Linked DNA regions of Rattus norvegicus. The protein of the gene in region 1 binds, or shares a complex with, the protein of each later gene. Links are inferred from orthologs where the notes say so. Each region holds a gene or a part of one and is shown on either strand. Other genes may lie near its edges.

The links. The genes of interacting proteins can lie anywhere in the genome.
Region 2: Exosc4 (region 1) and Exosc1 share a complex: the UniProt entries of both Homo sapiens proteins name them as parts of the RNA exosome core complex. The link is inferred for Rattus norvegicus from reciprocal best matches to the Homo sapiens genes EXOSC4 and EXOSC1.

Annotation. Positions count from the first base shown.
Region 1 is NC_086025.1:109,926,668-109,932,321, reverse strand, and holds Exosc4 (exosome complex component RRP41), read right to left. Parts: upstream 3,832-5,654; 5' UTR 3,794-3,831; coding exon 3,623-3,793; intron 2,086-3,622; coding exon 1,879-2,085; intron 1,779-1,878; coding exon 1,419-1,778; 3' UTR 1,089-1,418; downstream 1-1,088. UniProt on the Homo sapiens protein: Non-catalytic component of the RNA exosome complex which has 3'->5' exoribonuclease activity and participates in a multitude of cellular RNA processing and degradation events.
Region 2 is NC_086019.1:250,690,940-250,696,713, forward strand, and holds the start of Exosc1 (exosome complex component CSL4), read right to left. Parts: upstream 3,810-5,774; 5' UTR 3,801-3,809; coding exon 3,770-3,800; intron 3,685-3,769; coding exon 3,569-3,684; intron 3,547-3,568; exon of another isoform or gene 3,392-3,546; intron 3,349-3,391; exon of another isoform or gene 2,383-3,348; intron 1,944-2,382; coding exon 1,869-1,943; intron 1-1,868. UniProt on the Homo sapiens protein: Non-catalytic component of the RNA exosome complex which has 3'->5' exoribonuclease activity and participates in a multitude of cellular RNA processing and degradation events.

The DNA.
Region 1 (5,654 bases):
GCCTAAAGGTTCTTCTCGGGAGTGTGTGACACAGGTGGGTACGGAGCTGGAACAGCGAAAAGACTGTTGCCTGCTGAAGTGAGATATTGAATGACTGTTATAGCTATGACTTAAGGGCCCCCATGTGAACTGAGGATCCGTTGTTGAATCATTTCTATGGATGTCATGAACCTTAAGTCAGTGGGCTGACTAGCACAGTGGGCGAGTTGGTGGCCAGAGGAGAGGGGTAGTGGTGGGTCAGAGGAGTTTTTCTAAGAGGGTCCAGAGGTAAGGGTCTAAGAATAAATGGCCAAGGGGCTGGGTGATTTAGCTCAGTGGTAGAGCGCTTACCTAGGAAGCGCAAGGCCCTGGGTTCGGTCCCCAGCTCCGAAAAAAAGAACCAAAAAAAAAAAAAAAAAAAAAAAAAGAATAAATGGCCAAGAGGCAACAAAGGTTTGATATCCTTCTAGAGCCCAAAGAGGCAAGAAAGGCCCAAGGAAAAACATTAATCCAGTGGTTCTTAACATTCTACTTTTAATAGAGTTTCTCATGTTGTGGTGAACCCCAACCATAAAATTATTTTGCTGATACTCCATAACTAATTTTGCTGTTATGTCATAGTGTAAATATCGGATTTGCAGGATATCGGATAGGAGACCTCAAAGGGGTTGTGACCCACAAGTTGAGAACCATTGCATTAGTCTAACCTTACATCTCTTGATGAGCACACATAGCCACCTCAGCCTTGCACTCATGTCTCTGAAGAGTTGTGTAAGCAAGGCACATTCCTTAGTCTGAGGGCATGAGTGAGGAACACAAGTGATGGGAGAAAGCGGACTCCATTTTGAGCCTGCTTGTCCCTTGTTTGAACTGCGATTAATAGAAATATCATAAACAATCCAGGAAGAAACTGCCCTGGGCTAGAGCCAATCAGAGAAATAGAGGGAAAGTGTCTAAAATTCCAAAGGTTACAGATAAATTGCTCATCATTGACCAATCCTTGTGCACCAAGATACCCCTTGCCAAATAAGGCAACTGACAGGCTGGAGACCCCCTCCCTGCTCAACCCTTGCTAAGTAAGGCAATCGCTATGCTGGAGACCCCCGTTCCCTGCTCAAACTAGTATAAAAACCTTGCCTAAATGAGGTTCAAGGTCTCAGCACAAATCTGATGCTTGGAGGATTCTGAGGGTCCAAGCTTAAGTGTGAATAAAGGCTTTGCTTTTGCATACAAATCCAGACCCCTGGTGGTCTTTGTGGACCCTGATATCTGGGCAGGCACAGCATGAGCACTCTTGCTCTTCCTAGCACAAGTGTTCTCTCCACTTAGGGACTGCAGTACAAACTGCTATGTAGGGCCCTGAGCTGCTTTGAAGTGCTGTACATTACAGTGTGTTCAGGAGAGGAACAGGCCTTTATTCTGGATATGGGGGGTTGGCCTCAGTCCCCCAGTAAGATAGAGGCCTCCTGCACATGCTGCCGGACAACACGATCCAGCAGAGTGTGCACATCCCGGGCTGCCTGGGCAGCAGCCTCGAGCACCTGCTCCAAGTGGTCTTCATGCAACCTCGAATCCATCTCAAGCAGTGCAATCTGGCCAGAGGCTGGCAGCAGGGCCAGGGCTAGCTGGGGCCCGCCAGCTGCTTCCTCCACGTGACTGAGGTCCGCTAGTGCTGTGCCATCCACAAAACCAGCCGAACATGCACACACAAAGTCCCGCATGGGTATCCCAGCATCCATCACTGCTAGCGTGGCTGCATTCACACATGCTGCATAGGTCCCACCGTCTGCTTGTAGCACCTGCAGGGGGCATCAGGACATCAGACATCTCATCCTCCAGCATCTCAGGCAGACCTCATCCCCTTAAGCCCCGCCCCCGGGGGAGTGGTTTGAGGCTCACCTGCACATAAATGTCTATCTGAGAACGTGGGTGCAGCTGTGTGAGGATAGCTGCCTCGAAGGTCTGGCGTAGCTGCAGCCCCATCTCACAAGACTTCCGGTCTCCATGAGGCCTTCGCTTGCGCTCACCTGTGCTGAAGGTTGCTGAACTGTACTGACAGTTCACTAGAGCCCGGTCAGGCAGAGCCCGTGACCGGGAGCCCCGGATCTGGAGGAAAAAAGAAGGAATGAGCCAGGGCCGCCTACCTCCTGGGTCACACTCGATGGCTCAGCCTTCCTCCTCTTCTTTCTAAAGTGCTTCAGAAAGCAGCAGCTACTTTGGTTCCAAACCATGGCAGGCGGTTTAGGGCTACACTTCGGTCTAAGCCGCACCACTGTCACCTTCCGCAAAAAAAACCCCTTTGTTCTTTAGTTGCTCCATTTCTTCCTAAATCATTCCCATCGTGGTCACCATGTTTACAAACATGTGATTTGACTGTGTCACCCACACACTAATATTTTACTTACCTTCCAGAAGCTTCTCATTACATGTAAAAGAAAATCTCAATTTCCCCGACCTTCAAAGCCCTGGGTCCTCATCTCCTTGGTTAACCACTCAACTTTATTTGATCTACTGTCCCTCGGTCTACCAGTAGTCTGGCCTAATGTGTTCTAGACCTGACCTGGCTTCCACCTAGAAAGCTGAGCAAATTGCTAGCAAACCTTAAAATGTGGGCTCATTGGTTAAGAGCACTGACTGCTCTTCCAGAGGTCCTGAGTTCAAATCCCAGCGACCACATGGTGGCTCACAACCATCTGTAATGGGATCTGATGCCATTCTGGTGTGTCTAAAAGACAGTGACAGTGTACTTATATATAATAAACAAATAACAAACAAACAAAAAAACCCTTAAAATGTGCATGTTTGCCGGCCTTGCTACACCACTGAGACAAAGCAGCAAAGGCAGGCAATTTATAATGTCTCTGTCTTGGGAGTTTACATTCCAGTAGAGAGACAAGAGACATGGAAGACTGAGGAAAATCGATGTAGCAGGGGCAGAAATAGCCTGGGAGGCCTTTTCCGGACAAGATGTCAAAACACTGGACTGAAAGAACAGGGACTGAGTGTAGCTTTGCCAGGATGTATGAGGCACCTCAGAGATGAAGAGGGCAGCCCAGGAGAAAAGAGGCCCACTGAGACGGAGGAGTTAAGCAGTAAGACTCATGTCCACTCCCACGATGTGCAGCCATGAGCCCCCAGTCCCTGCATGAGACAATCATAGTAGTTGTGGACAATCTGAAGCAGCCCCATATCCCACCCGTGGGATTAAAACAAAAACATAATCACATAACATAACTGGGTTCTTAAAGAAACCAATATTCTCAGTTCATCATGGGACCTAATACTTATACAAATTTGAGGGCCATGTTAGGGATGCAATTCCCCGAGAGGACTCAGAACTCGGGGTATAATTATATTCATGGCTTAGTGGATGTAACACAAAGGAAGGATTGAAATGGAAGTTAACCAAGGGAAAGAGCTCGTGAGGTGAAATCAGAAGAAGCCAGGTCCTCGCAGATGCACGCACATCATTTCCCCTACAACACGGTGGGACAACGTGTGTTGAGATGCTTTCTGCCAGGGAGGACCCCAGAAATTCAAAGATGGGATTTTAGTATACTGCTGCATAGGTAGAGGAGTTAAGCTGTAAGGTCTACTTCCTCGTCGTGCGGCCACGAGCCCCCAATCCCTGCCGCTTACTCGCCTCGTGAGGCCCGTAGACCACCGCCAGTGCCTTGGTGTTGCCCTGCTCGATATAAGCCGAGCCATCGGCCTGCGCAAACACGCCCATCCGCGCCTGAATCTTGCGCAGCTCCCCCGCGCGGCGACCGTCTATCCGGTAACCCTGATCGGACAGGAGCTCCAGCCCGGCCATGTTGCGCAGTCCTCGCTCCGCCTCCGAGAGCACGACCCCTTAGATGACCTGGGCTTCCGCGACTACGACTTCCGCCGGTCCGTTTCCTTTTCAGTCTCGGAGAGCTATAACTTCCGGTAAACTAGTCCCTTTCCGGTGCAAGGCTCGTAGCTTCCCCGGCCTGCTGAATGTACGAGTCACGTCGTTCGGTTCCGGGAAATCAAAGGCCCGAGCCGAGCTGGTTTTTGCAGCTTCTCCTCGGTTGTTGAAGTAGGTACGCCTTGAAGACAAACTTCTCTTTCCGGACGTCCTCGGTTTGTCGGAGGCGCTGGTCCCAGCGGAGACTATTTTTTTTTGGCCCTTTAAAAAACTGTATATCTATTTTTATTGTACGAATGTATTGAACAAGCATACCTGCTTGTATGTCTTTTCGTCACGTGTGTGCTCAGTGCTGCGGAGGTTAGAAGGGGGCAGCCACTGTGAGTGCTGGAATCTGGTCCTTCTCTTTTTTTCGTCTTTCGTCCGTGTGGTTTTTACAGTGGTCAGTTTAGCCAAGCACAATTTTTTGTTCCACATACACGTGATTATTATCTTTGTGGCTCAGTATTAGTTTAGTTTTTCTTTTTTCTTTTTCATTTGCTTGGTTAAATCCATAAGTTTCCCTCCCTTACCTTGGCCAGTAAGTTTTCTCTATAGCCTGGATGCAAGCACAAAGCGCCTGCGGTTGTCTATATGCACCTGTATAGTAGGTTTTGGAGTTCTGATTATTTTTAAAGATTCGGTCACTTAGTATACATTTGGGAGTGTTTTCACTCAGAATATGAAATACATAGTCCTGAGATTTTGTTGTGTTTGTTGGTGATGGGCCCTTTTTTGCTGTTGTTTGGTTTGCTTGTTTTTGGAGACAGGGTTTCTTTTTGTAGCCTTTGTTGTCCTGGAACTCCTTCTGTAAACCATGCTGGCCTTGAGATCACAGATCTGCCTATCTCTGCCCAGAGTGCTGGGATCTGAGGCATGTGCGATATCACCTGGTTGCTGTTGCTTTTTGAAAATCTTGATATGTATTTCAGGTTGGCCTCAAACTAGCAATCTTCCTACCAGAGCCTCCCTAGTGCTCTTATAATGATTATAGGTGGGACCGTGACACCTAGCTTGGAGGTATATTTTTATTGTTTGCTTCATACCTGTGGGGTAGATAGAGCAGATTATAGTCCCACTGAGTCCTCTTTAACAACCCTGTGTATTGTAGGAGCAGATAATTAAGGAATGCTATTCATTGTGGAGGGCTTGTGAGTCTTGATTCTGAGTATGTTGTCTTATTTTCTCACCCAGAATAAATAATTTTGTGGTGGTTTGTTTGTGGTGTTTTTTTTTTTTTGTTTTTTTGTTTTTTTTGTTCTTTTTTTCGGAGCTGGGGACTGAACCCAGGGCCTTGCGCTTCCTAGGCAAGCGCTCTACCACTGAGCTAAATCCCCAACCCTTGTGGTGTGTTTTAAAATAAGATCTTACTATGCAGCCTCAGTGTAGCGGGTCTTAGCTACTTTGTGGGTTCTTTTCCCAGTCGTTTATCCCTCCCGGTTTTACCTCCTGTCACTAGATAGGAGAGGAAGGGACAGGAAGGAGGAGGGTGTGGGAGATCTTTGAATCTAGTTTCTTCCTTTCAGTTTCTTCTTTGAGTACAACTACCAACAAGCAGCAGCCACCCCCGTCGATTGGAGCTTTCGCATTTTTATACTCTCTGAAAAGTTCCCAGAATTCCAAAGTCACACAATCACAGAAACTATCTGCAGCTGGCAAAACCACGCCTCCGCAGAGCACCAGGCAAATCACAGTCAGCTGCTGTGGACAGTCTGAAGCAGCCCCACATCCCACACCTGGGGTT
Region 2 (5,774 bases), on another chromosome or scaffold:
GTGCTGGGGCACTGAGTGCAGGCTCACACCTCACAGCGTAAGTGAGAGGTCTGTTCGGTTTACTTTCTTTCTTTTTTTTTTTTTTAAATATTTTATTTATTTATTATATGAGTACGCTGTAGCTGTCTTCAGACACACCAGAAGAGGGCATCAGATCTCATTGCAGATGGTTGTGAGCCACCATGTGGTTGCTGGGATTTGAACTCAGGACCTTGGGAAGAACAGTCGGTGCTCTTAACCGCTGAGCCATCTCTCCAGCCCTCGGTTTACTTTCTGTTACTGTGATAAATGCACAGACCAAAAGCAACTTGGGAAGTGTCTTACAGTTACAGTCCATTATCAGGGAGAGCTGAGGTAGAAGAAACGTACGGCAGAACCTAGATTTGGGAACAGAAGCAGGGGGCCTGGAGAAGTGCTGTTTACTGGCTCTCCTGGGCTCACGCAGCCAGCTTTCTTACACAATCAGAGATCACTCACCCAGTGGTGGTGCTGCCCACACTGGTCTGGGTCCTCCCATATCAAACGCCAACCAAGAAAATGTCCCACAGACAGGCCAAGCTGATGGAGGCAAATCCTCACTGAGTTTCCTCCTTCCGTGTAGCGCTAGTATGTGGCAAGCTGATCAAAACTAAGCAGACGACTTTGCTGAGTTGGTTTTCTCCTGGATTCATTCTTTTTTTGTTGTTGTTGTTCTTTTTTTCGGAGCTGGGGACCGAACCCAGGACCTTGCGGGAAGCGCTCTACCACTAAGCTAAATCCCCAGCCCCTCCTGGATTCATTCTTATGTGCGTCAGCAGGCTTGTATGGAAAGTGACTGCCTGATAAGCCATTTTATTTATCGACTCACACTCTCCCCTACTCCTTCCTCTCCCGCTTCCTTTAAGGCAAGGTCTTACTATGTAGCCCCACCTTTATTGGCACTCTAAACCAGGTCGGCCTTGAACTCACAGAGATATGCCTGCCTCTTGCCGTGTCTGTCTTCCCTCCAGCCGTCTTTGGGACAGAGGGTTACCTTGCAGCCTAGCTCCCCTTTGAGATTCCCCGCCTCCCAAGCACCATTGGAGGAGCGTGCACCTATGCCCTGCCAGCAAAAATTTCTGTGATGACAGAAATGTGATTTCCTGGGGCTGGACAGATGGCTCAGCAGCTAAGCGCACCGGCTGCTCTTCTAGAGGACCTGGATTCCATTCCTAGCACCCATATGGTGGCCTATAATTATCTGTGCCTCTAGTCCCAGGGGGTGCGACACACCTTTCTAGGCTTTGTGGTAGCAGGCACGCATATGATACAGACAAGATAACTATTCACATGAGGTAAAACAAAACCAATCATTTCCTAGAACTGAAGACGTACTTCTGGGGAGTCCATCACTTTCCCACACCCCCCAAACTAAAGTCATATGTCAACCAGTATGGCAGCCACTAACCACAATTTGCTACCGAGTACTTAAAATGTGAATAGTGTTGGGATTGTGGGGTGCAGGATCTCACTCTGTAGCCTATTCTGGTCTTGGACTACTGTTCAATAATTCTAAACAGCATCCAAATACCGAGACCACAGATATTTTATATTTTAGCCTGGCTAAAAATAAATTTTTCATTCTTTTCTTTCTTTTTGAGACAGGGTTTCTCTATGAAGCCCTGGGTGTCCTGGAACTCTCTGCATAGACCAGGCTGTCCTCAAGTATTCACCTGCCTATGCCTCCTGAGTACTGGGATTAAAGGCTGAGTCAACACATCCATCCCTGAGATTGACCTTCTAGCAGTAATAAACTTAAAACACCCTTCTCTAGCTAGGGACTACTGTATTAAGCAGCGGACCACGGCAGTTGTAGGATCTCGGCCTAATCATGACTAGGACCGGCTTACCTTACAGGTGACGACAGCTCCCACATCTGGAAGTAACTGGGACTCTGTCTCTCTCATTACTGATACCACGGGAAGCTGTGGAGAGAATACGAAGGTTAGTGTACTGGCTAAGTAAGCCCTGGGTAAAGAGAACTGAAGGCTGAGGATAATACAGGGGTATCTTACAACAGCCGAGGTCACAAGGGCAGGCAGCCTGTAGATTCATTTATAGCCCATAGCAGAGGACATTAGTCATTTTAGGAAATAAAGAGGATCAGAGGCCATTAGAACTAGGCTGCCAGGTTTAATGTGATCATTCTGATTAGTTGTAAATGACTGAAGACTCTCTTGGGATTTCCTGGTACAAATCCTATTGCTTATAATTATGAATATCCTGACTCTTTCTTCAAGCTATAACTTTTTTTTTTTTTACTTCAGGATTTGCAATTAAATGCTATAGAATGGCAACTCTTGTTTTACTCCAATGGCAACTGGTGTATTATCTTACCTCTCTTGCTCTGTGCTGTTTCCTTACCTTACTAAGTCCCTCCCATTTCACGTTGTCTGTCTAATCCATTCTTTCCACACTCCTCCACCTCTCCTTATCTTCAGGTGCCGAAATATTATTGTCACTATCTAGAATTCATGCAGCCCGTTACATGTTCTCACTGTTCCGCACACTTCTTTTGAAGATATGTTTGTGCATTTGCTCATGGTTTGTGTCTGTCTCCCTGGTAACAAAAGCTAAGTGTATTGGGCTCAGGACTCTATCCCCAGTAGCAACTAAGGGCACCACTGGGCAGGACATCTATGTAGTGAGTAGACTGACAGGCTGAGTTTTATCTCCAAAACCAATAGACTGGAGCCCATTTTTTTTACAAATAAGTACAACACAAAGTGGGAAGTTTGGGTTTTGCCAGTCTCTAAAGAGGGTGTGTTTTTCCCCAGGTCCCAAGCTAGGCAAACGCTGTGCTGATGAGCCACAAGCCCAGCCTGAGGAGGTTTAATTCTTAGTTTTTATAGTCTTACAAATGTCAACCACTGCTTTATCTGAGTCAGTTAGAAGCTGGGAATACACTCGTGTATCACCATGCATGGCTACACTTAAACTTCTACTTGGGCAAGAATCTAGTTATCATGAGTAACATATTTAAATAAGTGCTCCAGGGAAGGTTCTTGGGCACAACAATCCTACTGCCACTAAAACCCCCATTTTCTCAGTCAGCAGGTCCAGAAGGGCTTCTCTGGGAAAGCCATACATACAAACAAAAAACAAAAGGGATTGAGCAGAAGTGTGTTCCAGACAGACAAGTACATGCATTGCATAGGCTTCGAAACAGAGTTTAGTTCACTAAGACACTGAAAATCTCCAGCATTACTACATTGATGTCAGTGAAGTGGGACACAAGAGCCACAAGAAAGCGGAGGTAGTCGAGATGCATGACGGGAAGAAGCTCTCGGCTGGCCGGGCTATTCTCAAATTTGCGTGCTTTTCCCCTCCACCTCCTTCTGTGAGTGTCTCTACACAACTAAGCCAGCCCAACCTAAATGGTGTGCAGCAGGTGTGTTTTAGCACAGCGCTGGGATCAGAGCTGGGAGAAGCTGGGAGACCAAAGCTCTGAGACACCAAAGACAGGTCCTCCCGGTAGTGCCTGTGCCCAAGGACCAGAACTCGATGGCAGCCTGAGAGGTGACGCTCGTTGGCTAGCCGCTTTCTTTACCGCGCCATTCTCGCTGGTCTTCGTCAGGCAGCCAGCCAGCGACGAAAAGATGTAGCCGTGCCGGGTGTAGGTGCCGCTGCCCGGGCTGCCTTCCTCCAAGTTACACAGACGTTCGCCTGCAGAAGACATGTGCCTCAGCTACGAGCTCCCAGAAACTGGCTGCCCGCAGCCAGGGTCTGCCTGCGGAGACCGCTCACTTACCCGGGATGCAGTACCTCACAGGTGGTGCCATGCTTGCCACCGTCCACAACCCGGATGAGAACCAAGACGACTTCTTATTGGTCAACTAGAGGAGCGGCCTCGCAGTTACGCGTGCACCAATTGGCGCTTTCGACCGCGCAAGGCGTAAGAGCGAAGCCTGACTCCATTTCCCAGGCTGCCCCGGGACAGAGTTCTGGGCGTGACTTTGCGGGCTCTGAGACTCGCGCCTGCGCAGCTGGGTGGTGATGGGCTGTCCGCGGGTCTCGGTCCGCTGGCTGGCGCTGCGGGCTCAGGGCCATGGTGGGTTAGCCTTAGCTCGGCCCGGCCTGGGTCCCGAGCTGGAAGGGGAGGCAGTGAGTGGCTGACAGGGAGACTTGGCCTAATCTAGCTGATTGAGAAGCTGGCAGGAGGCAGGTAAGAGTGAAGGCGCGGTTCTTGTCCCCATCCGAGTCTCGGGTGTCCAGGCCCTTAAGTTCAAGTTCCTGGACTCTCTGCGCCCTGCCCTGCGTGGCTGTCCCAACTCATCCTCAGTCCCAACTCGCCCATTTCACGAGTTTGGAGACTCAGATCCAGAGACAAGGTTTGGTTTGTACAAAGTGTCGTAGATAGTTCGAGACAGACTAAGCTTAAGCCTTTTTTCTTTTTCTTTTTTTTTTTTTGACCTGAGCCTATCATAATTGGACCCTGCTGCACCTGGAGACACAACCTTTTTTTTTTTTTTTTTTTTTTTTTTTTTTTTTAAGCTTTGTAAAACGACAGTTTCTTCTCTTGCAGGCAGATACTCTAGAGCGTGAGCTCCTTAACTATGAATGGGCAGCTTGACGTTAACATACCATTCCTTTTGCATTCTTCCATTTTAGCATGTTAGCCGGGAAAGACAACTTCATTAATAGAATATTATGCTTTCTTGACATCAGCTTGATATGGCAAAGGTCACGGGAGCAGCAGCTGTGTCCAGATGAAATTTGCCGTGACTTGATCTCAGTTTCATCTCTTGGCTCTGGAATTTATTCCTATCTCCCCTTCCCTCCCTGTCAGTCAGGCTTCTTTGAGATACAGATGGTGATTTAGGGGAGTGCTGTTGCCTGCTAATCTCTACTCTGGTGGCAGATGGCCACTGTACTCTGTGGATTCTACTGAGAGGTGGCAGGACTTGGGGTTTGGAGGAACTATGCTGGCTTATCCCTCCTCTGTTCATTCAGGTCATCCATGACTTCTCACCACATTTAGATTTAAAGACTTTGTTTTTTTTCTCTGTTTCCCAAGGTAAAACCTTTTCACTTGTGGTCCATTTATTACATCTTTTTCTAGTCTCCTCCTTCTCCTCATATCCCACTAGGCTGGGGGGGGGGGGTCCTGGACCCATTCTTTGTTCACTGGAGTTTGATCAGCAACTATATGCTTTCCACTTTACAGGTTTGATTTCCAGTTTGAGGTGTCCTCTAAGTTATTGTTCTTTAGTGCTGTGATTCTAATAATGGTTCTGTTTCTTTGTTTACCAGAAAGAATGAGTGCAGCAAATCCTTTGGTGTGATCACTTTGGTAGGAGTGTCTCTGCTGGCTTCTGTAGAGCTGTCGGCCTTTCCTGTTCTGCCTCTCTCCAGGTCATTCCTTCAACAAGTATTTATTGAAACTTCTATGCGCCAGGTATTATGCTAGGATGTTTATATGCATTTGATTTAAACCTTGGCCATATGTGTGTGTGTAGATGTCTGCATGTATACACATTTGTATGTGTAAGAATTTAAGGGTTAGAGAAGGAGGTTACAAGACTACTTACAGAAAGATTTGAACCCTAAGTAGGGTATAAATAGATGAGAATTGGTCACTTGAGCCTTAAAGTAGACATTTCACACAGAACTCAAGAATATAGGAGGTGATTGACAATCCGAATTCTTTTTAAAGACACGGTCTCGCGTATCTTATGCTGGCCTCAGACTGGCTGTGTAGCCAAGGATGATGTTGACCTCCTAATCGCTCGCCTTCAGATGTACAGACATGCCAA